4 linked regions of the Astyanax mexicanus genome follow. The protein of the gene in region 1 purifies or fractionates together with the protein of each later gene. This does not show direct contact. Links are inferred from orthologs where the notes say so. Each region holds a gene or a part of one and is shown on either strand. Other genes may lie near its edges.

Region 1 (6,983 bases):
TACTACTACTACTACTACGTACCCTTTTATCCATTTCTATCATTGCACTTGAGAGGCAGCCTAACAACTTTACACTGCACTGTATGGGTGTATTGATGATAATGTTGTATTAAATAAAACTGAATACGATTAAATATTGTCCACCCCTGCTTTATGCTTTATTCAGACAAAGCTATAGAAATTCATGTACTGCTGCTGAAAAGACAATTCAATAAAAGTGGATCACACCTGGACTTCACATGGAACAATTTTGGTTGGTTTATTTACTCAATAAACAAAAAGTTTAATGTATCACTGCTAACATTTACCATGTTAAGCCCACGACTGTTGAAACATGTTTTTTGGATTTTCTGCAAGGTGTGCATTGAATGCGGACACTTCCTCCTATCTATCTTTGTCTGTAAAGATGACTGCATCCACACAATTTTTTGTATATTTTGCTCCTTTTTCTTCTGCATTCATTTTTTTACCTGTCTGTTGCTCAACATTTGTAAAATGATACTATTTAATGGAAAAAAAAAAAAATCCATCAGAATTAATAAAAACAGGTTATAGACACCAATGACTCACCACCCCGCTGGCCCCATGGTCTCTGCCCGTACTTTGGCTCGACTGGCCTCTTTCAGGAGTTCTTCAACTGCACGTCTGTGAGGAGGAGAATGGATTAATTCTTCAGTGTCCATAAAACAGACAACAGGAAATGAATGCACGTGTGTGTCCTGCAGCGACCCAGTCCAGCAGCTGAGTCACCACCTCTTAGTGGCATCACCAACTGTCCACAGCTGCCCTTTGACCGCAGTTCACAAAACAGGTGCCCGAGAAACTTGCTGCCTCAGCGGCAAGAACACAGTCCATTCCTCACACATAGCACACCCACTGTATCAGTGTCAGAGGAAAGGAGTAACTAATAACATTTAAATAATTACATGTGCTCAAGCACAGCTTTGATTTGTCCTTCTCTGAGTGTTTTTTAGATAATACTTTTACTTTTTGGGTAAACTTGACGTAATTAATTTCAATTTCCATTAATATTTCTATCAATTAAAATATAATTTTTGTGCTAATACAGTAAGAATGTTGTATTTTGCTTTTGATTCTGTTTAATGCATCTACTCAAGTATGGGTTTATGCTACTCTACCCTCCTCCAATCAGTGGTAATCAACCCTTTAGAGTTTAGGTCCAGCCCTATTCTGCTCCAGCTTTAGCTTCTAATGTTTTCAGAATGCTTGGACAGGCTGCCTTCAGTGTTTGTTATCACTGAATAGGATCAACAAAGGGGTCTGGTGTATCGAATGTGTTTTGGAATCAATATCTGCTGTAAAGAGGATCTCCAGGTTGGTAACAGTTTTCTGTAAGACTAAACTGTACATATAGAATATTTATAGTGCCAATCCACTTTAAAATAATGTTCTTATTATATTATCTGAATATACTGCACAATTATATGCATTATTGTACAAAAAAATGCTGAATAAAACATTTATTTCTATACACTTATATATTTTTTTGTTTATTTATCAGAACAGAATCTTTTTACATTAAGTTACATTAAATACTAAGAACATGTTCATACTTTTCCCCTACTGCCAATTTACCATTTGGAGACAACTGTTTTTAGGACAATAAGCCTTTGCTATTTCAAACTGCAACAGGCACTAATTCTCATCTGCTACTGTTAGTGTACCGCAACTGTGCTGCACTATGTTACACACATAATTACTTTTTTTTTTCTAAATAGGCAGTAACTATCTACATTTCTAATAACATTGACTGTTTAACACATCAATCATATTTAATGTCAATGTGTGTGCTGTGTATTAAATACAGTATTTGAATGTAAAAAGGTTGCATATTTTGCAACCAAAATTATTATTGAGAAAAAAATAATTATTTGGGTGTTTAGCCAAATAAGACCACATAATTTAAACAAAAAATATTTGCAATAGAAAAAATGCTTTTAAGCTATTGCATTATGCAATAGCTAAAAATGTGGTAAAATTAATGAATACCTGCAAATTAAAACACGTTTGATATTTAGCTAAATATTTCATTTTGTACAGTTTCAAACAAAAAAATATTCAGTGTACCCCTAGTTTGTAGCTAACCAGTTACTGGCAATGAAAAAAGTGTTATAGAGGAGAGAAGAGAGTTCAGGGGGGGCAAGAACAGAAATAAGTAAATAAAAGTCAGTTCTATTTTTATTTATTTTTTGCTAATTTTGTTACTATTACCGATAAATGTTCTTAACTGGGATATAAAACTGTTATAAAAAACAAATAAATCATAAATGTTACAATATTATTAATGACTTAAAGATAAATAGCAATACGGATAATAAACCCCTTATAAACATAATACTAAGTCGTACACTAATAGTTGTTTTGCCATTTGCTTCAATCCTGTGACAGACAGATATTTTGGGCTAGTTTAAGCTTCTGAAGGGCGGGTTTTAGACTGAGTTTGGGCTGAATATTTTTCTTGGACCTGGCAACCCTGCCCTGCTGTCAAGTGATCAGTTTGTAGCTTAGCTAGTTAACTTACCTCTGTTATGAAGCCAAAGCAAGCTAATTAACTTAGTTAGCTAACCTACGTTATGTTAACGTTAACTAGCTACACTTAAAATTCACCACACAGATCAGTTCGAGATCCAACATCTCCATTAGGTTTTCGTTATTGCAAAAATATGCGATTTAAATCATGTAATCAAACCAGATGTAAGTGAATTAGCCTGAATATTCAGGTAACTAGCTAGGTTAATGTTTTCATGTTCAGTTCTGCAGTAATAGACGTTAAGCTAACAGGCTAACACTGCTTTCGCTCAGCATTAAAATCCCATTTCCCCGATTAAATCACATTTAAACAGCTTAACATCGTCTGTTAAACGACCTACCTCTCCAACTCACTGGCTGTATCCTTATCCATCACACTGACGGACGATTTTAACTTCCAGTTACAGCGATTCCTCTATTATTGCTTAGAGACTACAAAGACTACAAATTGTTTTCACCCGTGAGGACCCAATTTAGGACCAATAGCTGAGCGGCTGTGTGCCTGAACGAATGAGCGCTGAAATAGTAGAGAATCGTAGTGCAGTTTCTAAATACAGCAATGACATTAGTTAATTTTTGGACTGAAATGTGTATGTGTGTGACTAGACTTGGGAAATAAATAGTAATTATGCGTATTACGATCTGTGACAGGGCAAAACCCAGCATGTAGGTCGTGTTTTGATCAGGCGGGGCAGAGGGCGCGATTTGGCTGGTCAGACCGACAGCCGGAGAGAGAGGCTGGAGTGAGCTGAAGCAGCGGAGAGGAGCCGCAACTGATGGCCGAGAAGGACGGAGCCTGCTGGGGGAGATCTGAGGGGCGAAGGGGCGGCTGAGCGTGGGGGCTGGGGGTGGATGTGACCGAGAACTACTAGGTGACTGGAGCACGAGCACGAGGAGAGAGGTAGGAGGATGCAGGATGAACAGGGACACTGTTGTCTTTTGTTGAGGGTTAATTGGAGGGATGGAGGGATGGATAGATGGATGGAGGTTGTGATGTGAGAATGGAGGATGTATGGTGATGTATGGTGGTATGATGTAGGATGGAGGAATGGAGGCTGTTGCATTGAAGAATGCAGGTTGTGTTTGGGGGAATGGATGCTAGGGGTTGAATGGGTAATTAATGAGGGTGAACTGGGTGGGATGTCTGCATGTCTAATGTAGATTTAAAGGCTGTCAGTGCTGTTAAAACTGTGCATTAATGCGAGGATGTGGTATAAGGGAATGAGGGTGAAGTTGAGAGCATGTCTGAACTGGATAAAGCTGGCCAGCAGCATTCTCAGATGAGACATTGCATTAGGAAGGTGTGTGGCTGAGGAATGCAGCCTCTGTGCAGCCTGTGTGTTTAGGGTAAGTGGGATGCTTTTGTTTAGGGGGATGCTGCTGCTCCTGGATGCTTTTTGTTTAGGTGATGAGGTGGGATGCATTGCTATGAGCATTTAAGTGACTGTATTGATAATATGTGTTAGGGCACTGGTGGAGAATGCGGGTTGAAAAAGCATGTGTGTGCCTTGTTTTTTTTATAGGGATGCCTGCTTTGTTCAGAGGGGGGTGCATGCTTTGTTTTAGGGGGACCAATGGGATGTATGTAGGTTGGCTGATGAAGCTGTGTGTTTATGGGGATGGATGCTGTGTTTTGTATAGGTAAGCTAGGGGGTGGATGCTACATGTATAAGGGAATGCATGCTATGTATGTGTGTCTGTGTGTGTTTATGGGAATGGATGCTATGTATATATGGGAATGCATGCTTTGTTTGTTTATAGGATGGATGCTCTATATGTTTTTTTATGTTTGGTAGAGTGAAGGACATGGAATGAAATTGCAAATGAAATGGATGCTAACCAGGTTAGCATGTCCAGGACAGAGCTTGTTAGTGAAGCTAATATGTTGCATTAGGAGAGACTGTGTGATTGAGGAAAGGCTGCCTCTGCATTAAGGGGGAATGTGTGTGAGGCTGTGTGCTTGAGTGAATGGACTCTGTGTTTGGGAGAATGGAGAGTGTGTGACTGGTGACACATCCTCCATTCCCCCTCAAACACACAGCCTCCAATGAGCTTGTGACGTCAGGCGTCATCATTCTGTCAGGGTTTATTATGCTGTTTCTGCTGCTGACTAAGACAATAGCCTTCAATCTGCACATCATTTTAGGCGACTCTCCAGAAATGGCTGCATGTTACGTACTGCTGCTCTCTGCCTAGATCAACCTGGTTTTGGGGTAGATTTAGGGCAATGAACGATGCTCTTCAGAGAATGAAACCTGAACTGAAAGGGAATAATTGAATCACTGAGAGGTAAACAAAGTCATACAGAGTGGTTTGAAATGCTCTATCTTTAATAGTAACTTATGGCCTTGGATCACCATGGGGTCACTATGTCTATAACACAAATATAACAAATTTCTGCACTATTTAAAGCCACCAGTGAACATACAAATGTTTTTTTTTTGTGAATGAGTTTCATATAAATGAGATCCCTAATGGAATGATGATGGTGAAACAGCAGTACATACCCTCATCATCAAAGAAGTGGTTATAAAAATAGTTGCACTCAGAAGGAAGTGTTAAGTTGCAATGACTGATATGAACAATATCAGTCAATATTTGTCATATTAATTAGGCTACACACATACAAGACTAGTTTGTTATCCACGTGTATCACAACATGCCAGACTTCTCTGCATGGAGTTGTAGAGGTTCCTAATGGTGGCATGCGATAACCCATCTCATGCAGCATGAATATTCTCTCCCAGTTCCTGCAGATTTTGTGGTGGTTGGGTGGAGTGTCCCATACATTTTCAGTCTGGGAGAAGTCTGATAATCTGGCTGGCCATGGCATAGTATCTGTGTCTTCAAGGCAAGCTCTTAAGACAGCAGCAGCAGTGTGTATGAGCATTGTCCTGTTGGACATATAGTGTGCCAGAGTGTGCTTTCAGAAAAGAGCAGGACCACTGGTTGCTGAATTTTACTAATACTAGTAACGCTGGACTGTTAACACGCCTGTAATGAAGACAAAAGGTGATTTGGCATCTTAAGAAATTGCACCCCACACTAGGTGCCCATGACACCTGGTCCTCTGGATGTATGCCTCGTGACAGTAAACCATTGACCTTGGCACTGACTGACAGTGAATCACAGTGTCTTACATGGATTTGTTGGTTGTCTTCACCAAGACAGCAGTCTGGCATGACTACCCACCATATTTTATTCCTGTTGGTTAATTTCTTCTGAGTGCAGCAAGATGAAGATGAACATATACAAAAATAGGTTTTAGGCCAAAGTCTTATTACAGATGTATAAAACAATGTATTTGAACCCATTCAAGATTTTGTGTTATAATATTTTGTAATGCAGGTTTTAGAAGTGTTAAGACATAGGGTTTTATTCACCATGATTGAGCCCCTTCATCAAGTCACCACTTCATAACAGTGTAATAATACAGATATTTTGAAAGACTGATGATATTTCCTTTTAATCAGTCAAGGGCATGTTGTGATACTGTACTGTGTAAGAAGATACATTATCCTGATAGTCCAGAGTTGATGGCAAACAAAGAGACACAGTGAAAACAGAGCGGCCTTGAAGCCGTGACTGTTGCTCAGCCTCATCCATACACTCCTGCGAGAAGAAAGTGCTGCCTGAGACAAAAAGAGTACAGATAATTTCTCCTGGATGGCACCCAAAGGCCATTTAATGTTCCCGTTCGCTTATGTAACGGAATCCCTCGCTGTGCCGTCCACTGTTTAAAATAGGACGAGAGTTAAGTGCATTGGTGGCTCTTCATTTACAACAATGTGCCCGAGATGAAGCGTGCTCAAGGCCGTGCTCTGCACTTGCGATATACAGTGTGTGTGTGTTTGTGTGATGAGATGATGACAGGGCTTTGTTATTCGAACAGAGGAGCCTTGTGTCCTCATGAATAATTCACATCCAGCTGCAAAGATAAAGAGACAGAGACAGGTAGTCAGAGGGACACGAGCGTAGCAGACGGCGGCTCTGTCGTTTAAAAGGTGCAGAACGAGAGAGTGGAGGGATAGTGGATGATGGGATGGTTGGGGACGCATGAAGATGCTGGCTGGGGACGCATGAAGATGCTGGAGGTTGGTCGCCATGGATACATGTGAAGCATGGAGGGTAGTGTGGGATATATATTACCTGTATTGTTTTTGCCCACTATGTCAAAAATAATGAATGATCAAAATAAAAAATAAATAAAAAATTTATTTGTATTTATTTATCAAAAAGTCGTAACATGACTATCCTCATCCTCTCCATCACCGGTTTCGTTCACTACTGAGCCTTTAAGGCCGATAAACTGTATGGGCATCGTGGCTTCTTAAATCAAGATTATTAAAACATAGTTTATCCTACTTTTATTGGAGTAAGTGTCTTTACTGTCCAGGCAAGACGACTTTCTACGATATTTTGGAGCATTGCTG
Region 2 (7,866 bases), on another chromosome or scaffold:
TAAGTAGAGAATTGCCCCTAAATAATCTCTTCAGTGTTGCATAAAGTCCTTTAACAATCTTTTCCCCAGAACTATTTATGAGACCCAAAACTGTAACAACTGAAATCTGAGGAAACATCTTATTGAGATTAATTGTTTAGTACACAAAGAGAGAGTGAAAGTGAGTGAGAGAGTGAAAGAGAGAGAGAGCAAGTGAGAGAGAGAAAGAGAGAGAAAGAGAGAGAGAGAGGTGGCTGACAGGCAACTGAACTGTAATCTACATCCCCAAATCAGAAAAAGTCCGGACCGTGTGGAAACAGCACTGGATCAAAAACCGTCATTTAACAAAAAACAATAAAACCACAAGAGATGACTTTACACAACTTAATCACCAACAAACTCTACAATACAGAATTACTAAATTTACTAACACCACTTACAAATTTACTGTGCACAACACAAGCCTTATATTACATTACACAACAGGCCAGTGATTGTGACAAATAAAAGAAAGTAAATGGAAGAAACACTGTGGTTTATTAAAATCTATATTTTCCAAAACTGCCCCAACCTTTTCAAAATTGGAGGCAGTGAATCCAGCACGCTGCACCCCGGCATCATTAGTAAAGCCAAAGGTTTTGTATAGACTAAGAGCAATTTTAGGAACCAGGTTCTAGATACTGACCGGTGAGGTGGACCTGTGGTATTAGATAGCAGTCTGGGTGAGTCTCGGGCCGAGCAGGCTGGGGAACAGCGGAAGCGTCCGATGATCCTGAAGATGCTTTTCCAGCTGTTCCCATACTGTCCACTGGAGGGCAGCGCTGCAGGAAATGGGTCTCCACCAACCGGGTAAACGCAGTGATGACCTCACTGTATTCCATACTCTGACCATCTACACACACACACAGAATTGTATCACTGTTTAATTTTATTATAAGAAACCACTACCCTGTGCTTCCACTCTCTGGCCACTTTATTGGAAACTCCTACATCCGCACACTTACCCTCCATGCTGTGGGTCAGCCGGTCGGCGACGGTCCTCACGGTGCAGCTCATGGTCATCTGACCCCTCTGGAGAATCTCCTCGATCACCAGCTCGCCAGTGTCTCCGTACAGGCTCTTGGCGGTGTAGATGTATCGTGGGTAGCGCAGCATGTAGAGAATACGCTCACAGTTAGCCGTGTACTCCACCGGACCCCCGGGACCCCGGCGGCCCGGTCCAAACACACACATCCCATGCTGGACCAGCACACACAGAGACTTCTTCACCTAGGAGATCATTAAAGGGAAAGTTCAACCAAAAATCTACAGACAATTAACTGGAGCTATAAGGTTATCTGAGCCAGAGCTTAGTGAATAATAAGTTATTACAGTTCTTACAGGAGCAAAATCACACAGCCATCATCTCAAACCCCAGATACAATTCTTCAGCCAACACAGTTCTGCTCTCTGAGCTGTGCTTATTTAGTTAATAGCAGGAGACGCTAGGCTCATTTTGCTAAAAATCTGAATTTAGACCGGCACAAACACCATCACCGCACAACATGTTCTGGAGTATAACAATTTACGTCCAGTCGATTAACTTTAGCTTAGCATGCACTTATTATAAAATGACACTCAGAAATAAATCCATACAATGTGCTTAAATGTTAAGGTGTTCCTCAAGGCAGCAGACCTTTTTGTTTTTGTTTTGGTATCACTGTCACTGTTTTTACCATTATTGTGTTTTGTTGTTAATGTTACTATTTTGGTATTATTATCATTCATTTAATTATTAATTTTGTATTGTTTGTGTTCTGTGTACCCTTGGGTGGGTGGGATCTGGGTTGTTGTTTGTAAAATTGTGAAAAGTGAAAACCTATAAATAAAGTTATATAAAAAATAAAAAAAAACCTTTAGCTTAGCATGTTCTGTAATAAAGCTGTGATTGGTCAGGGGGAGGGTACTGTAATAATAAGTCACCATGTTTTCCTCCTGGTGAAAGATTGTATAATTCATCATCTGTGTAATTATTTAGTCCTGTAGTGTACAAACCACACCCACTAAAATATTTCTCATTACAGTAGAGTATAGTAGAGTATAGTAGAGTACAGTACCAGGTCGAGTGGGGTGCTGGTCTGATGGGCTAAAGCTCTCAGGTTTAGAGCTCCACTCCTCAGGAGCTCCGTCCCCATCTTCTCCACCACCTCCCCAAAATGCTCCTGCAGCAGCAGCCCACACAACCGCACCTCCTGCGCCGTCATCTAAACACACACACACACACACACACTTACACACATCACATAAACACACTAAAATCACACAATTTTAAGTTACTAAGTTAACGTTAGCTGTTAGCTGAGTTAGGTAGCATTAGTTGAGTTATTGAGCTAGCTGTTAACTGAGTTTGTTAGCGTAGGTTTAGTTATTGAGTTTGCTATTAGCTGAGTTAGTTAGCGTTAGTTATTAAATTAGCTATTAGCTAAGTAATTTAGCGTTAGTTGAGGTACTAAGTTAGCTGTTAGCTGAGTAAGTTAACGTTCGTTGAGTTACTAAGTTAGCTGTTAGCTGAGTAAGTTAACGTTAGTTGAGTTACTGAGTTAGCTGTTAGCCGAGTTAGTTAGCGTTAGTTGAGTTACTGAGTTAGCTGTTACATTAGTTAGTTAGCGTTAGTTTAATTATTGAGTTAGCTGTTAGCTGAGTTAGTTGAGATACTGAGTTAGTTGTTAGCTGAGTTAGTTGAGATACTGAGTTAGTTGTTAGCTGAGTTAGTTGAGTTAGTTGGTTGAGTTATTGAGTTAGGTGGCGGATTTGGCGGATTTAGCCGGGTAGCGCTGCTGCGGCTTTCGGGCTGTAGGTAAGTATCCCTCCGCCTCCCCAGTAAATAAAGAGCCGTACTAACCTTTGGGTCTCCGGTCTGCACTGCAGTGCTGCTCCGCACCGCTTTAATAAACCGGGCAGGAACTGAATTATTACAGAATTTAATACTGGATTAATCTATAAACCCTCTCACACACACCGGCTACTACACACACCTCACACGCGCTTACAGAACCGATTCACTGATTCACTGATTCAAATCCATCACCAGCCGATTCTGTGCAGTTTCAAAAATCCGCACAAACAATAACTATCGCTAGTATTATTGTTATTGCTGTTTATAATAATAATAATAATAATAATAATAATAATAATAATAATAATAAAAAGAAGAATATCTAGATAGATAGATAGATAGATAGATAGATAGATAGATAGATACTTTATTTATCCCGAAGGAAATTTAGGCATCCAGCAGCAACAACACAATACAATAAGAAACATCCTCAGACAAATCAAAACACAGAAGAACAGAAAATATATAAGGCTATAAAAACCTAACTATACAAGGTAAGGATCTATCTCTAAACGGAGCAGTGCAGATGTTGCTAATGCTAATTAAATAATTAACAGAGTAAAGTGCAATGTGCAATGACATTGATTACGAAAGTGATTGATGTGACATAGAAATATAATATAAATATGCATACGTTAGAAGACAGTTCTAAAAAGAGAATGTGAAAATGTGAATACCCAATCAGGAGTAAAGTGTATTTGAATGTAAGTGAGGTTGGGGAAATGTAAATAATTAAGTGATTGGGCCTGAATAACATTAAATAAACGTTGTTTTGGTTGCATCGTATAAGAGCTGAAATTCGGAGTTTAAATTAAATTAGTTATAATATCTGTGTAAACAGGAGCACAGCGCGACCTGTAGGAAAACGGGGGTTACGGCGCGCGATCAAAAAGCTAAGAATCAAAAGAGTCGGTTCGCTGAATTCAATCGAACGGGCACATACGGCGTCACGGGCCTAGCCCCGCCCCGGCGCTGACGTCAGCGCTCGGGCCCTCTTCCCCCTGTGTGTAAGATGGCGGAGGCTGCTGCGGTTCCTCCGCACCGCTTCTTCTGTCACTGCTGTAAGGGCGAGGTGAGCCCCAAACTCCCGGTAAGAACCGCCGTCCGCTCGCCGCTCTCCTCCCGCTTCGTGCCGCCGCCGCCGCCGCCTGCCCGCTGTCCTGCTTGGGGCAGCTCGGCTCGGGTTAGCGCCGTTGTTTTTGGGTTGAACCAGAACCGGATTTACAGCTTTATTTCTGGGTTTAAATGCGGACTATAAAGCGGTTTAAGTTATGTTTCACTTGTGTGGCTTTTCCGAGCTGTTAAACTCACCTCCTTCCGCTGTAACCCGGTCTAAGGCTCGCAGCGGCGGCTGTGTTTCCACTGTTGCTGTGATCTCAATTCGGATTCTGAGATCCAGATTTGGCCGCTGGTTTATAGTTGTGTGCTATATAATCCGGTGTGAGAGTGAGTTGGTACTGTAGTTCAGTAACGTTAGTTCAGAGAGTATCTGGGTTAGGGGGGTTTCGAGTTTGAAGGCCACAGTTAAACTGAAAGTGATATAAAAGAACTTCCTCTGTTCTGATCTGTTTTACTTTTGGGATTTAATGCGGATTAAATTGCGGTTTAATATGTGTTGAAATAATTTATTGATTTGTTGTGGTGGTAACAACACACAGCTATCAGAACCCTCAAAACATTGCCGCTCTCCGAGTTTACACTGATCACAATTCAGTTCCTGAAATCCGGATCAGCTGCATTAGCTGTTTGTGTAAGTGTGTGTGTGTGTGTGTGTGTGTGGGGCTGGTAGCACAGAAAGCAGCTGATCCTGATTGGAAACCATAAACAAACTGAAAGTGAAATAAAACTAAATATTAAAGAGTTTAAAGGGGAATTCCTCTGAAATGTGACCAATCGTGTGTGTTGTATTTTGTGTTTGTGTTGTATTTCGTGGTTAACTTTTGGCATATCACCATATATCTCAGTACAAAATATTGTAATAAAGATGTTATGAATATTAAGCATATTTCTGATATTTTTATGTACATTATGTAAACACCTGTCACTGATGATCATTACAGGAAGCAGATTGTTTTTCTGAAGTTTGCAGGTTCAGTGTAAAGTTAGTTTTAAAGTTAATTTAGCTCAAAGTCTTTATTTTATGGGTGTGAGAATGTGATTCTGTTTGCAGTAACTCAGTGTAAGTAAGGAATAGTTTACATATGAAGATTGGTGTCAGAAGTGCTTGATTTAGTGTTGTCATAGTTAGTAATTTTTAACACTCAGATTATACACTGTGAGCTTTTCTAAAATGTAATGTGAGCAGTAAATGGTATTGTTTAGAGTAGCAGTGGATATATTGGTGAGCACAGTTCTGTATCTGATAGTGTTAAATCAGTGGTGAACATGAACAGTGGTCCGAGCAAGTCTGTGTCCTTAATTTATATAAATTAATCTAAGTTTTTGTAATCTAAGTATGGTAAATTTATTTTAACACTTTTTTTATATAGCAGTATTTTGACACTCAGATTGATAAGTCTGCTCTGAGAAGCCTTTTCTCTCCAGCGCTGCTCGGTCCAGTTAAAACGGACTCCGGTTGGTTTGGACTCTTGTTGCAGTTTATGGCTGGTGTGAACCCGTGAGAGCAGGTGTCTCTGTCCTGCTCTAAACCAACTCCGGTGTGGTTCTGTTTTTGGTGAGAAGGTGATCTGACCCGATATTCAGATATACTCCTTATGTTTGAGCTAAACTGCGGTTCAGGTGCAGTTTAATCTGATTTATTACCCAGATAATTACTACAGCTATTAACTAATACTAATCTTTGCTGCTGCTGTATGCCAAGCTGTTTGACATTGAACGCTGTGTATGCAGCGTTCAATGCTCACGGCCATGCAACTGTGTTTACTGCACAAACATCTCATTTAAAAAAACTAGCAAATTTCCAGCATTTAGTGTTAAATCAGCTTCACACTGAGCAGCTAAACACAGTGGTCTGGAACACAGAACCTTCTAGCTATATTTACCTTCTTGCTAAGACAGCTCTGGCCAATTAGAGGAGAATGTGCTTGCGTGGTTGGTTGGGAAGCGCTTTGCTGCATTTAGGTTTGTACCTGTGTGAAAACAAACCAAACCGAGGGAGAAACTCTCCCAGTAAACAAACTTTAGAGCAGGTTTAGAGCAGAGAAACCAACTACAGGTGTAAAACACTATTAGACATGGTGTCTCACCACAGTTACCGTACTGTTTATTATTCATAATTCCAAAATGTGCTCAAAACTGTTACAAAAAACACAATAATATATTATATTCACCAGGGAGGCAATATGGCCCTAAAATAATATCACAGTGTTTCAGGGTATATTTATGATAACTATATTTTTAGTAATGTGGCAAAACATATTCAGCTTCAGTTTTCAGCATTTACAACTGCAACTAAATAAATGATATTTATATAGTGTAACTGTATAAAAGGTTCACTAGAAGTGAAACTACATGAGTTCTGATAATAAAAACGAAAGATAGAAAATTGTACAGATTTAATCCACATCAAATCAAACAACAGGATCTACTAATCTAACAGCACAGCGACATCACTCTTATTAAACAGAGGTTAATTTAGATCGGAAATATAGTTCGCATCACCAGTTAGCCTTTAGTCATCGTGGCTAATCAATCCACTGTTGTGATCTTCATAATAAGAGTCTTCAGGCCAGCTCTTATTTGCTAAGTAAACTTTTAATCAAAATTTGGTCTAATATTAGTTTTTCATTTGTGTCTCGTTTTAAATTCTTTTATGTTTGGCCGGTATATTTTATTATTACAGAGCAACACATTTCAGCTTTTAATGTAAAAATGTATTAGAGTGTAGTTATTTTAAGTAGTGTAGAATCTCTTGAAATAACCGTATAAACGTAATATATATGTGTTACCGTATAAACATAATAATAGTTTAATGTTTATAGTAGTTAAATGTTTAGAGTGAGTAAAAGAGGCAGCTGTAATAAACTGGTCTAGTGTTGTAATATACAGTATTTTCAACATCTGTTATTAACTGATGTTCATTCGAGGAAGCTTTTAGTATCAGAAGTATCAAACTAAATACAAATGTCTTAGATATGGGTATTTTATTGCTGGTTAATTACAATAATAGAGAGAGAAATATTAAAGATAAAGCTAGTTTTAATTGGTGAGTTTTAGTTATTTACGTGGCGTTTCTGCTGCCGGAGTTTTGGAGAATGCTAATGTCTGTTTGTTTGTGTGTTTAGGAGTATATCTGCCCGCGTTGTGACTCTGGGTTTATCGAGGAGGTGACGGAAGATTCCAGGTGAGATGATTAATCTGGTTTTCTGTCGCTCACTCTGATGGTATGCTGAAACTCCAGCAGGACCGGTTTCTTCCTCAGCCTGCAGTAAAAAAAGGCCTGAAGTCCAGCCCTGGGGCCAAATGTGGCCCCTGGACAGATATTAACTGACCCTCTGCTGCAGTTTTGCATCATCAGTTTCCCACAATCACAGTCTGTTTTTTCATTAGACTCAGCAGAAGCTGGAGTTATCTAAAAAACAGAGCCCACAGTTTCACTGCAGATCAGTTTAAACAACTTCATTCAGTACTGCAGCAAAAAACCATCATCACAGACACATTTATTTACAGTTACTGTGCTAAAAGTAAATGCAGTGTTAAATTAAGTCTTTAATTGTACATTTTTGCTAATTAATATTTTGGACACAATATTTAGAATATTTCTAAAGTAATTTTATATAAAGAGAGCTATATCTAAAGGCCTTCAGTATGATATGGTTTAATCTGGTGTAATGTAACAGACTGTGACACGATATACTAAACTACAGTGTCTACATGGCATCCTTCAACCCCAGGTTGGATTTTTCAGCTGTAAAATCCTGATTAATTCTAGTACTCTAGTCTGTGTTTACCTACTGTCTCTAAAAGGTTAAACACTAAAAACAATTACAATTAAGGACTAAAAGCATCTAAAAGGAAAATCAGTGCTACGTGTTCCACAGTTTGAAATCTTG
Region 3 (7,662 bases), on another chromosome or scaffold:
GCTGCTACTCAGTTGTATATCTCCTATTACTAGTGATGCTTCAACACCAGCAGGGTGAAGACTAGCACACGCCTCCTCCAACACATATGAATTCAGACTCCGCCTCAAGTAGCATCACAGCACTAATGCTCGGAGGAAAGCGCAGCGACTCGGTTCTGATACATTAGCTCACAGATGCAGCCTTGTGCTGATCCACATCACCCTAGGAGTGCTGATGGGGAAAGAGAGAGCGCCATCTACTGTACTGTACCCACCCAGAGAGAGCAAGGACAACTGTGCTTACTCGGGGCTCCGGCAGCTGGTGGCAAGCTGCATAACCAGGATTCAAACCATAATAAACCATAATGATATGTATTCAGACCCCGTGTTGATTCCACGTAGCCCCCCAAAAACCCTGACAATGACAATTAGGAGCAGGTTATTTACCTTTATTCCCAGCATCCTCAATAATCTGGTAAACCAGCTTCTCTTGGTTGTCAGAGCCCTTCATTTTACTGGAAACACATAAAAACACATTAAACATCAAAACATGTTGTAAAAGCATATAAATCTTTATATAAATACTCTTTAATAATAAGTTAAAGGCTTTTACCTTGCCAACTGGACATCCTTCAGCCTGTACAACAAGCCATTGCTGTTTCTGAGAAGATCGAGTTGGCCCTGCAGATCATAATGCAAAATTTACTTTAAGAATGTGAACAATTAAATATTAATATTTATTCAGATTAAAACAAATATTTAAATAATGATGATATAATCTTCAAACTAGTGGTGTCATTCGATTAAAAAATGTAATCTGATTTATCATGACAATATTCTGTGACATCCCACCCTGCAAAAACTCATTTTAGGTTAGTGGTTAGCTCCTTTAAACGTCCTTCTGTCATTTATGATGGTCTATTTGTCTCTCTCTCACTGTGTGTGTAATTAAAAACATGATTTTAGGCATAACTTATATAATTTGTTAAATTGATCATTTTAAATGTATTAAAATTAATTAATTATTAAAATCTTTTATACTGTCCTAACTTTTACTGATTCAGGGTTGTATATTATATATATATTATTTTACTGCATATCGTCGCTGTCCAATGAAAAACACTTATCTCCATCCAAAACAGCAACTTTACAGGAGAGAGAAAAAAACATTGTAAACTTTCAATGGAAGTCAATGTAAAAAGAGTTTATTTCAGGTCATTTTGAAGAGTTTCTATTAGTCTGTTCATCAAGAAATTTTGGCACAGTGTGAAGGACAGTTTGTCTGTTCAAATTATGTAGTAAATTAAAATCGACAAAAATGGAGATACTTTTTTTTCATTGGACAGCAAAGATATACAGCAAATATATAAATAAACAGCAAATATATAAAGGCTTGATTTTCCTCCACCAGGTCTGTTAGTACCTGTGCAGGTATTGAACACTCACCACAGACAGCAGCCGGTTGATGGCCATGGCCCGCTGCTGGGGCTCCACATGAGGCAGGTCATTCTGGATCACCTGATCAGTGATGCCATGAGGAAACTGCTGACAGAGCTCCTTAATCCTAAACACAAATCAAATTAATATACATCATCAAGCTTTTTCTATAATTTTCTATAATTTTCTATACATCATAAATGATCCGGTTAGAACCCCTTGTTTTATGATAAGACACACTACAGAGTTATCAAATAAAAACGTTATCGGTCCCAGAAAAAAAAAAAACATGCGTAAAATTATGTAATTATGTAAATTGTTTATATAATTCAAAGTAGAATCTAAAATAACTAGACCTCACCAGGTCCTGTTCTGATTAATGTAGAGATCAATGCTCCAACACAGAGGGTCAACCACAGCTATTCCAATTTTATTCTATTATATTATACCCTAACTATGACTAAGAAGACCAATTTTAACACTCAGTCCTGTTACCTAAATTAGTTCTTAGATCTTATTTGTTTATATTTTTTAAAATACAAATTTTGAGAAAATCACTAGAATGTGATCAGTGTCCACACGCCATTTAGCTATTTTTCATGTTTTTGCTAATTCGATGCTTAATTAACAGTAGTCTCTGCCAGTAACTGGAGTGAGTTCCAGTAACAGGACTGAGTTCCATTAACAGAAGTGAGTTCCAGTAACAGGAGGGAGCGGCAGTAACAGGAGGGAGCGCCAGTAACAGGAGGGAGTGCCAGTAACAGGAGGGAGTGTCTTGAACAGGAGTCATTTTTTTTGTATTTTTTTTAGATAAATATTAATTATTTGAACATGCAGTCTATAGCCATTTCTTTAAAATAAAGACTTTATTGAGTGAAAAATTAAAGGAATTAGTCGACTTATAAACTTTTAAACATGTTTTTAAATGACACGTGAGTTTTGTAACCATCTTCAGATTAGAAACTTGTAAAAAAAAAAAAAAAAGAAGTAAAGCTGCCTGAGTTTGACCAGTACATGTTTGGAATAGTTAAACATGTGTAATATTAGATTTAGAGTTGAAAAAAGATTTAAAAAAATAATAAAAGTTTTATTTGGAAGAGTTACAACAGCAAATAGCACACAATCGGTGGAATAGTAAATATATTTTGCAGGCATCAGAGAACCCATAATAAAATTTGGGAGACTCCCTGGATTTCAATGAAAGTTGGGATCTCTGGTTTATACTGTATGCAATGTAATAAAACTTTTTTTTAACTTTTAAACATGTTTTATTTTATTTGCGTTTTTATTTACTATTCAAAAATTTCTAAAATGTACTGATACACTTGGATCAGCTCTCTTAGAGTCTGGAGAGTCTGAGAACCTGCAGGTTTCAGTGATCAGACTTTAACCCAGGGCTGATCTCGCCTACTGAAACTCACCTGTTCTCAATATCCACCGGATCCGGATTCTCCTTCTTCACCTTCACATCCCCCATCACTGCTGACCGATCAGAACCTGGGTTCTAGATACAGCAGAACATCCAGATCCTCTCCACATTTACAGCACTGTAAACACAGCAGAAACAGCGTGCCGCAGGTGTACTGTCCAGTAATACTACCCGTCGATATGTGCTTCTAAACCGCACTGCGCATGCGCTGAACCATATTTTAAACGTTTTCTTTATGTTTTAATGTGTTTTTAATCTGCTTGACAGCTACAAAACTGTAAATTGCAATTTAAAAAGTAAATTTGCAATAAAAAAATATTGCAAATAATAAACTATTAAACAATAAGTCTTTTAAAAATATTTTTTTGACCATAACGTTACCTGATACAGTAATTTAACCTATATAAATATCCTACCTACACTTCTGCGGGAGATAAAAATATAGTGTTTTTTTGTGTATTTTATGTTTAAATATACTTTATTTAAAGCACGGTTTGGCAAAGTAACACAATTTGACAAAACACCGGGTCCTTCCCCCTCCCACAGCCTGTTCCGCTCGGTTTAGGAGTCTCACGGAAAGCCTGTTTAAAAATGAACTGCTCAGATAAAAGCGTATTTACAGTTTATTTTTAATAATAAAAAAGCAGTTCTCGTTCATGTCGTCTCTATTTAAAACAAAAACAAAAAATAAACACGAGAAGCACTGTAAAACCAGCTGGACGCTTCTTAACCGCACTGCGCATGCGCCCAATCATATTTTTGTAATGTATGCGTATGTTTTTAGAATACTTTTGTTTTATATCTGTATGTTATATGTATATGTATATATGTATATTTAATATATATATATATATTACCAACTATCTATCTATCTAGCTGAATAGAGATGTTACAGAGACTGTTCAGAGTCTATCTGCTGTTGGATGAACATTCAAGAACAATACCGTAAAAATAATATAATATAATAATGTTTTTATTTGTAAAAGTATAAAAATTGTATTTTTTTACTGTTTTAAATGAATAATAAACAAATATACACTTTGAAAAAAAATGTTTTTTATTCTGTGACTGACATATAAGCTAAGGTCGTTTGCCATTGGCTGACACGGTTGCTAGGGGCTACGCGCTGGACCAATAGCAGCGCGTTTTGCTGTGCGGTGTAGTTGATGGTTGTTGCAGCGGTGGATACGGTACACATGCAGGAGATCTGCAGCCTGAACCCGGAGCACAGGTACAGGTGAGGAGCTGAGCATTGCTAAAGACCCGCACCTGGATTAACACCTGTATTCCCTCAGGATCTGTAATTTACTGCAGATCTGAGGCTTATATATCTGTAGAGAATCTGTAGAGAGGAGATTCCGGGTTTATCAGACACTAGAGGGCGCTCCTGAGAGAGACAACAATTAATGGTTTATTTGGAGCAACTGAGAAAAAAATTGAATTTATCATTTTTAAAGCTTTTACACTACAGGTATAAACATTTTAAAGTATACTAGTGCATCTCAAAAAATAGAATATCATTGAAAAGTAACTTTATTCCAGTAATTCAGTTCAAAATGTGAAACTCATATATTATATAGATGTATTAAACACAGAGTCATCTATTTTAAGTGTGTATTTATTGTTGTTAATGATTATTGCTTACAGCCAATGAAAACCCAAAAATTAGGATCTCAGAAAATTATAATATTATATATTAAGACCAATTAGTACTTTTAGCAGTGTGGGCAGTGTGCCAAGTCCTGCTAGAAAATGAAATCTGCATCTCCATAAAAGTTATCAGTAGCAGAGGGAAGCTGTAAGATATGAAGTGCTGTAAGATTTTGTGGGAAAACAAAACTGCACTGACTTTGGACTTGATATAACACACATTTTATTCATTTATTTTAATTTAAACATATATTATTAATGCAATAAGGTATTATAAAGAAATAAAATTTAATTATATAATTGTATTTTCATTTAATTATCTTGTGGAGTGATGAAGCATTACGTCTAATCAGAGGGCAAATCTTAGGGGGTTTAGAGAGCCTGTGTTTTTATAAAAATAGTGATATTTTACACCATATATCAATAATGCATTGTAAATGATTCAATATATTGCAATAGAGATTTTTTTTTCATCCCATCTCTACTATTGGGACCCATAATAATAAAGCGCACTGCACATGCGCCCAACCATGTTTTTTATGTTTTAATGTGTTTTAACAATCATTTCGTTTTCCTTGTGTGCATTAAACCACCTGCTTGAAAGTTACAATACTGTAAATTGCAATTTAAAAAGTAAATTTGCAATAAAAATATTGCAAACAATAAACTATTAAACAATAAGTATTTTTAAAATATTTTTTAGACCATAACGTTACCTGGTACTGGTAATTTAACCAATGTAAATATCCTACCTGCACTTCTGCGGGAGATTTTTTAAATATAGTGTTTTTGTGTACATTTAAAAAAATGTTTTAATCCTTCATGGATGCTGTTGTCTTCATTACAGAATATCAGAGCGTATTATTTGGAGCGCTGGTCCCTCTGAACAGCTTCACCCTCTGACTGATAATGACTGCAGGCTCCATCACAGCTCCGTTCATCATCCCCATCCGAGTGCCGCCTCCTGGTAAAGCCAAGCATGAGATAGACACCAGCACACCTGTGGAGATTAAATCAGGTGGGGATGAGTTCACTGTTTTCCTGCACTGATGCAGAGCTACTGTATGAACTGTATAATTAAAGGGTTTCTCTGGTTTCAGACTCTCCTGATGTGAGTGTTTTCTACACGCTGGACGGGAGTAAACCGGAGGTGTTGAGGAGGCCGGAGGTTAGAGGCAGCAGCACCATGACCTACAGCGAACCCATATACCTACCCAGCGGGAAAGTGTCTGTGAGAGCGCTGGCCGTCACCAGGTAGAGGTCCAACTCTCTCAAATATGCTCAAAAATCATATTAAGATGCATTTTTTGATAACCATTGATTTTAAGCTCTATCTGGATGGGATCAGTTTCTCAGGGGGTTTTGGGGTAATTTTCTCTTTTATGGGGGTTTTTATCTTCTGTGATTTTATACCTGTCCAGAACGATCATGTACGTGTTTTTCTCAGTCGTCCTCTGAGAAAATTACAGGCTGAATTATCTACTGTTTTTCTCTGTCCCGTCCGGACGCACATCTCTGAGTTTCATCTCCTCGCCTTTAATAAAATAGCTATTTGTCCACTGCCGCGCACTGTAATTACACTTTAATAAAATCACAGAGGATAAAAAAAAACATAAAAGAGAAACTAATGCCGTGCGGATAGGGCTTTAAAGGTGGACTAAACTGTTTGGGAGGAGCACTGTGTGATGTATGGGTTTAGAGGCGGGGCAGGAGGCAGAGCTGATTGGCTGATCGGATCTATGGCGAGCAGAAACCAAACTCTTAAAGCACTAAGAAACTTACAACATGTTCTTTAGTACGGTTTAGTATGGAAGTATTTAGTACTATGCACCTTTTGGGTGTAACCAGTATTTGCTGTATTGTATATGTGCATTATTGTTAAGCTTCAGATTGACAGACAGGTTCTTCTCGTATTTCTCTGCAGTGATGGTCGGCAGAGTGCTGTTGTTACTAAAGTCTTCGTGGTGGAGCAGATTCCCTCCGAGCTGCAGGACTACGAGGAAAACCAGCTGGATTCCTCCACCCAGCAGGTTTTTTAATTTATATATATTTTTTTCACACTTTTTACAGAATCCCAGCTGTCGAAGTTTGGGCTGTAGAAGAAAATAATTATTCTATTAACTTAAAACACGTTAAAACACATTTACATTTAAATCTACACAAATCAGTAAAAAAAAACAGTCCTGTGATTGATCCTGTGTAGCGTATTGAGAATTTGTAATGTTTATTAAAAAATAATGTCTTTCCTTACTATTATTTTATATTATTTAGCCAAAAATGTTGTGTAACAGGGTAGTTAAAGTGACACTTATTCACGTTTTAAGTTTATTGTGCTTCTAAATGTGACTTGTGTCTTGTTGTTTAATAATTTTGTTTAATTTAAGTTAAATATGTATATTTAACAGAATCATACCTCCTCTCCGAATGGAGATGCAGAGGCCTCTGGAAAACACTTGGGTATGTTTTTGGGCTTAAAAATCCAGCTTGTTTAGCCACCTATGCTAAACCATTAGCTTTCATAAACGTTAATAATTATTAATATGTTTTATAATTATATTAGTTGGCTTAAAAAACTCCCAATTAAGCGTAACTACAAGTAAATACAACAGCAGCTTTAGTTAATCCATTATTTTTTCAATTATTGGTTGTTTTTAAAATCACAAATATAAACAGAAAAAGGAGAAATAAAGTAAAAGTAAAAAAGCTTAAATATTGTAGAGGTCCAGCTAGTTGCTTCCTCAGGACTTTTACAAAAAAATGTATGATTTAATTATATTAATAAATATTTTTTATTTTTTTATTTTATAAATTATTTTTAGATAATTCTTTCAGTGGATCCCGTCGGGTTCGAAAAGGCCCTCGGTTTCTTTCCCAGCGATTAAACTCAGCATCTGGGTCCCAGCCCACAAAACACACACAGGTTAGTGTTCTGATGCCGATGTTTTATTTTTTGATTAAAGCCAATTTATACTTCATCATCAAAACTAAACGTATCCTGTTGCGCACGTCCCAGAAATGTACCTACACAGACACCGTAGGCAGCTGCATAGGGCGCTCGCACAGGTTGTGCCATAGACAATACATTAACTTGACACACATAAATTAACCTTTTAGTCGACACTAAAATTTTGAGCCTACAAATTATTCAAATTAGTCAACATTGTCAA
Region 4 (7,847 bases), on another chromosome or scaffold:
GCAATGAATAACCTCTTTAACATTTAAGTAAATTCAACTTACTATAAATTAGGCTTACAGTGTTGAACTACTGCATACTGAACTAGAGAAAAGGTCAACAGGTCGATGGAAAAAAAAATGTTTGTGTGTTTGAATATATTTAGCATGATTTACAATCATACTGATAAAAACAAACTTTCCTCGTGGCTTTTCCACTACAGTACAGTAGTGTGTTTTGCATCAAAAGGGGTTTTCCAGAAAAAAGGAAGTTCCAAAAAAATGTGAGTGTGTGAGAACTGTCTGCGAGAACTGTCTGCCAGCAGATAGATTAAAGAGGATGATGAGAGGATGATAAGAGGTCTGTACTAGTAAGAAACTCTGGGCACCTGGAAGAGTTCCTGAAAGGACGGGTGAACTGCAGGATTGGGTACGAAGGGCAGAGCGTAAAAGGGCAGAAACTCTGTGGTCTGGCTCAGTGCTGCCCCCCGGGTCTCCAGGTAGTGCTTAAAGTGGCTAATCCGCTCATCAAAGTCAGCTTTATCCTGCAGACAAACGTCAAACAAAAGTACATCATATCAGAAATCTTCTCATGTTCATTTCGGCAAATAAATAAACTGATTTGTGCATGCGTAGACAAATTAATTATAACATGTAACAAATCAACAACATATTTGAAGATATAAGGTTATAATGGCTAGATGACAGAGCAGAGTACAGAGCATGTCCAAAACATTATGCAGGTCTTATGAAGTGGTACTTATATAAACTAGTCAGGAAAGACAACATAGAGAACCAGTGACAGGGTTATGGAAGCTCATGGCTCACTGATGTTCATGGACCTCCTACCTAATATCAAACAAGCCTTAAAGGGGGTACACAATTGGCCTGCACAATATTAGGCTGGTGGTTTTAATGTTGTGGCTGATCAGTGTGAATGTATGCTATATAGTAGGTAGTCACAGCTGAAAAATGTTTTATTGTGCAGTGGGGACACCTGCTGGCTAGAGAAGGCTAATATCATGATACCAAAGCTAGTAAATCCTGATCAGGATGGATTAGCTTAAACTGGACACATCATCCTTGCCTATAACACAGTTGAACCTGAGCCGGTGCCGCAGAGGCAGAAATGACCACAATAAAAGTGTTTTTTAAAGATTAGGAAAAGCAGGACGGGTATGTTTCACAATTTCAAAGTACCACATTTCAGATGTTAAAGAACAAAAAAATTGGTTTAGGTTTTAGTGCCTCTTTAATCCCTATCTGGAAAACCAAGCCTTAAATTTATTTTTAATTTTTCTCACCTGTCTTCCAACATTGTTCTTCAGTGGGTAGATTACAAAATGAATGTGTAGATAGAATTCCAGTTTCTGGACATTCGGATCACTGTCCCGAATATCCACAGGGACGTTTTCTGCCCACAGTTCAAAAAACACCTTCATATCACCATCATCGAATGAGCTGATCAGATCCTTCTGCAGACAAAACACATTTTAAGAAGTTAATTTATTGTATTTTACTGCAACAATGAAACTCTGTGTTACTAACAAAACGTGATCTGGTCATTATCAAGTCATAAGGATAGACAAATACTATCTAAAACTATACTGAAAACCCATATAGCTCTATGGTACATGTTTCTTTAATTCAGCACATTGATTGAACATTCATGTTAGAAGGCTAGAAAAAGTGACCACCAAACCCAGCAAATCCACCAAATGTTTAATTCAGCTCTAAATAACTTTTACGGAATTTCAAACCATTCCTCCCTGTAAATGTGTTTTAGATCATCAATATTTCATGGACATCTTGCTTTTCAAATGTACTGACATTTCACACTATGAAACACTCTCCCAGCACTCTAGCAATGTTTCAGAATTAGCCTTACCTGGATGATTAGGATTTTGGAGTCTACAGGAGGGCTGCTTGGTGTTTTTGGCACAGGTTTTCCTTTGCTCTTGCATTCCTTCTCAAAGATCTTCACCGTATCCTCAAACTCAGAGAACTTCAGGTACTGAAAATAATCAATTTTACATTGAGCATATGCTTTTGCTTATGAAATGGCTATGAAAATCATCAACATACAGAGCATGCAATCAGAATTCATATGTGTCAAGCTTAATATAAAAGAAATGTGAAGTCCAATGCTGCAAACTAAAGGGGTTATAGGGTCAAATAAATTTAAAAATGTGAATCAAATGCAGACATTTTAGTGTGGTAGCCCATCAAAAACCTCTGCATTGGTAAGTGACCATCCAGTCATCCATTTGAACAATCTAACATGCAGACAGACTGACCTCTTTTATCATTAAAAGGAGATCTGCTTCATTTGCCAGAATGTCCCCCATCTCTTGAGCCTTTCTGGAAGTCATGTATCCTCAACCTGCAAAAGAAGAGACAGTGATCAATCATTTAGCTCACTTATCAGTTAAATACATAACTGTCCTACTTCAACACACCATTGTATGAAGAGTATGCTGATAAACTGCATGAAACTATTTGGGAGATTTTTATTGTTTGGCAACTTTTTTCAGACTCTTGTTTATTGTTTTGATAACAAGCTGATTTTTTGAATCACCCATGCGTTATCAAGAGGGCCCTTACAAATGTGACATAGTTTTGCCCAAAATCAACAAATAGTAGTGCATTTCAAAAAAATAGAATCATTAAAAAGTTGCTTTATTTCAGTAATTCAGTTTGAAATGTGAACCTCATATATTATATAGATGTGATACACACACAGTGATCTGTTTATTTTACTGTTGATGATTATGGCTTACAGCCAATGAACACCCAAAAGTCAGTGTCAGTTTTGGCAGTGTGCCAGGTCCTGCTGAAAAATGAATCCGCATCTTTATAAAAGTTGTCAGCAGAGGGAAGAAGCATGAAGTGCTGTAATATTTTCTGGGAAAACAACTGCACTTTAGACTTGATGAAAAAAAAAAAAAATGGTTTCCAACACTAGCAGATGACATAGCTCCCCAAACCATCACTAATTGTGGAAACTTCACACTAGACCTCAAGCTGTTTGAACTGTGTGCCTCTCCACTCTTTCTACAGACTTTGGTCTCTTTATTTCCAAATGAAATGGGTTGGAGAGGACTTGGCACATGGATGGATGGATGGATGGATATTGTGTCTTTAGGAAAACTGATGTCAGCCACACAGAAAGTGCAAATACACAGTTATATAATAATTTAAATTTAGCAGTGCAAAAGATACGTAAACAGTAGATGAGTGAACTAGTGAATGAACTACTAGTGCAAAATAGGGTAGAACTATAAAAATATTATTATAGGCATTAGTAAGTCTAAAAGTGTGTCCATAGCTGAGTGTGTGTCCATAGCTGAGAGTGTGTCCATAGCTGAGAGTGTGTCCATAGCTGAGAGTGTGTCCATAGCTGAGGGTGTGGCCATGGTGTGGCCAGAGTTACCAGAATGAAAAGAAAAAAATACAAATTTCCTGAGACATCGATTTTCTTTTTCTGAAAGCCATAATCATCAAAAGTAAAAGACAAACGTTTAAAATAGACCACTCTGTGTGTAATACATTTCTATATAAGCTTAACATTTTGAACTGAACTACTGAAATAAAGTACATTTTCAATGATATTCTGATTTTCTAGGTGCACTAAAATACTAAGAACATAAAAAGGCACATGTATGTCTTTATTTCTTCACATATACATATTTTTATTTATGGTCCACTTCTATGACTCACTGTGTTGGAAGATTGTATATAAAAACAAAAGTGATAAATAAATACATAAAAATATAAGAATTTAATGAAATGGTGTAATAACCAAAATATGTTTTTTTGCCTGAGGATAACACTGCCATAGAGAGATAAACTGCTCTGTGTCTGCAAACGAGAGATATAAGCTGTATTACCTCAGCTTTTAAGGTTTAGGTTCTCCACTTTCTTGGAAATAGGAGGATAAACCCTTGCCTCCATGAATTTTTAACAACCACGTGGATACAATCCAAATGCAGCAAGATAAGATTAAAAGAGCATCCTCACATTTTAGGCACAGTTTGATGGTAAGTCTCGAAAATGTAGTCTTGCATTTTATTTTTCAGCATAAGAACAGAAAAAGAACCAAAACCAACAATACTAGCTTGTGTTAACTACCAAACTACAGCCATCGACATAAATACTAGTGAGTTTAAGTAACCCAGCTGGCCAGTTTAACCAGTTTAAACAGTTTAGCAGCGCCTTCTTAGATAGCTTATGTTGTTTTTGAAATAGATAACATGCTAGCAAATTAGTGTAATATAACGTTTAGAGCTCAGTAAAGCGTGTAACAAACTCCACACTCTGAAAGAAAGCATTAAAAGCATTAGCTGCACTGTTAGCTTAGCCCCTATGCTCATAGGTAAATAAACACCGCGCGGCACTCACCTCAGTCAAAAACACCCTTAAATGCAATAAAAATATCACTACTCATTTCTCAAAGTGAAAAATGTCCTTATATTATAAAACGGAAGGGTTAAAAAGCCAGAAAATGTTTGCGCAGGTCCGTAAAAGCAGCGAGTGGAGTTTAGCTTAGCCTAGCCTCACAGGCGCTGGTGCTGTTAGTCACTATAGTAACAGCTTTTGGGACGCTCTACACCTGGCAACACCATCCGGCAAGAGGATGTAAGTGTCGTGAGGATTTGTAGTTTTTGTCCGAGGTGATGTAGTCCAAGCCAGAGTTCGGAGACAGCATTATTATTATTGTTTTGTGTTAAATTACACAAAGATTAAATTTTATTGGAGCTGCAATAATAATAACGATAATAAGTAAATAAATAATAATTAAAAAATATATACAAATATTTAAAATGTATGTGTAAATAAAAAATGCTTTCGGCGCCACCGGAAGTACACGTGAAGCCGTAAAGAATCAACAGTAAGGCGCGTGTTCCGCTGGAGTTCAGTAATAAATGAATGAAACCTGTTATCAGAGGTTTAATTTAGTAGAAATTCACGCGGATTATCGCCGTGTCTGAACGCGTTTCAACATATTTGGTGACTAAAGCGCATCAGCTTAAAAGTAAGTGACTTTTAAAGACTATTTTTTTTTTACCTAAACCAAGCAGAACTGAAGGGAAATACCGGCGAAGCTAGCTTAGCTAGCTTGCTAGGGTGCTAACTAACGTGTTTAGAGGAACCAGTGTTTAGCTAACGTTACATTCATCCATAAACCAAGAGTCCCCGTGTGTTTCAGACTGAATCAAACAGCGTTAATTAACACATAAAACGAGTGGGTAAATATAACCTATGTAGTAATTTAAATAAAAGTCTGGGGTTAAGTTCATGTCCAGGGTTTTATATCTAGCTAGGTTTGTTAACCTGGGCAGCCAACTATCTGGCTATCTATTTACCTGTTTTCTTCTTTGGAGTTAGTGGTAAAGTGAACGACTTATAAAGAGTTTTTTTATCCATCCAAAACAAGCTGAACTACAGTAAAATGTTGGCTAAGCTAGGTTAGCTAGCTAAGATTCTAGCTAACTTGTTTAGAGTAACGTTACAGGAACCAGTGTTTACTTTTATCCATAAACCAAGAGCCTAAGTATTGATTTAGCCTGAATCAACAACCATTAATTGATATATGAATAAGACTAGGCAAATATAACCCATATAGTGATTTAATTGAAGGTCTGGGATTAAATGGCTAAATTCATGTCCATAGTTACATATCTAGTTAGGCTAGCTAACCACGGCAGCCAGCCAGCTAGCTACTAACATGTTTTCCTCTTTGGCGATAGTGTTAAAGTAAGTGACTTATAATAAGCAGTTTGTAGATATCGAAAAACAAGCAGAACTGCAGGGAAATGTTGGCTAAGCTAGGTTAGCTATCTAAGATTGTAGTTAATGTGTTTCCTAGTTACTTTTGTGTCCAAAATTTCCCCTCGGGGATCAATAAAGTATATAGCTATCTAGCTATCTATCTAGCTAGCTAGCTACAGTACATGACATGTTTACATTCATCCATAAACCAAGAGCCTGATTGTGTTTCAGACTGAAACAAATAATCAGTTAATAAATTAATAAGAGTGGGTAGATGTATAGGGGGCTGTATATGGTGGTTTAAATAAAGTGCTGGGGTTGAATGGTGAAGTTCCTTTCCGTGAAGTTTACTAGTTATATAGTTAGCTAACTATACTGAGCAGTCAACTGGCTAGCTTCCTGCTTTCTCGTTTACCTCTTTGTAGATGATCTTATGTGTCTTAAAGTTGGTTAGATGTTGATTTATATGTTAACTAACCAGTACAGCTGTGTGTGTGTTTTTTTTTATCAGAGTGAGCTTCCTGGGCAGATCAGCAGTGGTCTGTAGAGATGGCTGGAATTCTGTTTGAAGATATTTTTGATGTGAAAGATATCGACCCAGATGGGAAGAAGTTTGACAGAGGTGAGACCAACCTGCAGCAAATCCTAATTTTAACCCATTTATCGTTTGTTAGTGATGCTCCAGTATGGGAATTGTGACAAAACAAACAGTTCTTGTAGAAACTGTGAGTTAATCCATCTGGATCACAAACACACAGAGATAATGCTAATTTTATCTGTTCTCTTCCAGTGTCTCGGCTTCACTGTGAGAGTGAGTCTTTTAAAATGGACCTCATCCTGGATGTGAATACTCAGATCTATCCTGTTGATCTTGGTAAGGGAGACGTGTTGTTGTTGTGGCCCAAAATGTGACTAGATGTGTTGAATGACATTTTCATTTCCTAAATGGGCCACGTCAATTTGTGGTATTAAATTGCTATACATATCTAATGCATGGCAATGTGGCACTATATAAACATATAGACTGAAATTAATGTGACTTTTACAGCAATGTATAGGAAAAAGGACTGAGAGTAATGGCTGTGAGTAGATTAAAATAAAATGGAATGCAGCAGTGATTTAAGGGCTTAATTGGCAGATAAACTAGGTAACAGATCTAGTATCTGAACTTATGTTTGTAATAATATTGGAAGACCCAGGTAGCAGCCACACCGTGTTCCTAATGAATTGGCCAAACATGGCTGCAGAAAGCAGCTGCAGCGTAGAAGGAAAAAAAATCTAAATAAATTAAAATTTAACCGTCCTTTTTTTAGGAAGGCTCCAGTGAATTTTCAGCTATAAACCAACAGCCTGAACTATAGCTCCTGAAATACTGACTGGGATTAAAGTGAAACTTAACATGAAGCATTGCTCTGTGGTGCATGCGTGTCTCTTATAAAACGCAAACCGTTTAGACAGAGTCGGATATGGGTAACATAAATAAATAAATAAATAAATAATTAAATGAAAGTAGTGTGTGAACATTTACACACCTGTTCTGTGGGAGTAAAGGAACATGTTTAATAATCTTAAATAAGTTAAATAATATATTGTATCTTTATTTCAGGGGACAAATTCAGATTGGTAATAGCTAGCACACTGTACGAAGATGGCACTCCAGATGATGGAGAATACAACCCTCAAGACGACAGACCATCCAGGTAAAACCTGTTTACATATTAGTATCATTTTACTGTACATAACAATATATGGTATTTGTTTTATTAAATTAGTCTTCTGCAAAAAAAAAAAAAATAATAATAAGTTGGCAGAAAGAAATGTTTAATAAATGATTACCAATAAATGCATACTCTGTGCTGAAATGATTACTTTTTAAATGTTAAGTCTGTGTTCTTTTTCTCCAGGGCGGATCAGTTTGATTATGTGATGTATGGCAAAGTATATAAAATTGAAGGTGATGAGACTTCAACAGAAGCAGCTACACGACTGTAAGTGTCAAGTGTCATTATTGTCATCTTTCTGTTTCCTATAAAGTTACACATACTTAAGAATATATTTACAATCATACAAATGTTTGGCACCCCAAAATGCGACATATA

What was found. Proteins that work in one complex are often made in the same cells at the same time.
Region 2: the proteins of si:ch211-140b10.6 (region 1) and polr3c purify together in Homo sapiens (affinity purification with mass spectrometry; 3 studies listed by BioGRID and IntAct, with this or other methods). This does not show direct contact. The link is inferred for Astyanax mexicanus from reciprocal best matches to the Homo sapiens genes POLR1D and POLR3C.
Region 3: the proteins of si:ch211-140b10.6 (region 1) and polr3f purify together in Homo sapiens (affinity purification with mass spectrometry; 3 studies listed by BioGRID and IntAct, with this or other methods). This does not show direct contact. The link is inferred for Astyanax mexicanus from reciprocal best matches to the Homo sapiens genes POLR1D and POLR3F.
Region 4: the proteins of si:ch211-140b10.6 (region 1) and polr2h purify together in Homo sapiens (affinity purification with mass spectrometry; 4 studies listed by BioGRID and IntAct, with this or other methods). This does not show direct contact. The link is inferred for Astyanax mexicanus from reciprocal best matches to the Homo sapiens genes POLR1D and POLR2H.

Annotation. Positions count from the first base shown.
Region 1 is NC_064408.1:96,428,101-96,435,083, reverse strand, and holds the start of si:ch211-140b10.6 (protein POLR1D-like), read right to left. Parts: upstream 3,021-6,983; 5' UTR 2,924-3,020; coding exon 2,892-2,923; intron 646-2,891; coding exon 571-645; intron 1-570.
Region 2 is NC_064413.1:35,654-43,519, reverse strand, and holds the start of polr3c (DNA-directed RNA polymerase III subunit RPC3), read right to left. Parts: upstream 3,021-7,866; 5' UTR 2,861-3,020; intron 2,223-2,860; coding exon 2,076-2,222; intron 1,249-2,075; coding exon 984-1,248; intron 872-983; coding exon 665-871; intron 1-664. Other genes in the region: rnf115a (E3 ubiquitin-protein ligase RNF115), read left to right, coding at 3,867-3,944, 7,099-7,157. UniProt on the Homo sapiens protein: DNA-dependent RNA polymerase catalyzes the transcription of DNA into RNA using the four ribonucleoside triphosphates as substrates.
Region 3 is NC_064430.1:23,772,261-23,779,922, forward strand, and holds the start of polr3f (DNA-directed RNA polymerase III subunit RPC6), read right to left. Parts: upstream 3,021-7,662; 5' UTR 2,894-3,020; coding exon 2,838-2,893; intron 1,544-2,837; coding exon 1,426-1,543; intron 661-1,425; coding exon 593-660; intron 495-592; coding exon 427-494; intron 1-426. Other genes in the region: dzank1 (double zinc ribbon and ankyrin repeat-containing protein 1), read left to right, coding at 5,405-5,513, 5,596-5,749, 6,420-6,525, 6,901-6,952, 7,315-7,415. UniProt on the Homo sapiens protein: DNA-dependent RNA polymerase catalyzes the transcription of DNA into RNA using the four ribonucleoside triphosphates as substrates.
Region 4 is NC_064423.1:25,662,275-25,670,121, reverse strand, and holds the start of polr2h (DNA-directed RNA polymerases I, II, and III subunit RPABC3), read left to right. Parts: upstream 1-4,827; 5' UTR 4,828-5,011; intron 5,012-6,259; 5' UTR 6,260-6,297; coding exon 6,298-6,370; intron 6,371-6,538; coding exon 6,539-6,622; intron 6,623-7,354; coding exon 7,355-7,448; intron 7,449-7,652; coding exon 7,653-7,736; intron 7,737-7,847. Other genes in the region: lisH domain-containing protein ARMC9, read right to left, coding at 366-521, 1,281-1,451, 1,865-1,990, 2,274-2,348. UniProt on the Homo sapiens protein: DNA-dependent RNA polymerase catalyzes the transcription of DNA into RNA using the four ribonucleoside triphosphates as substrates.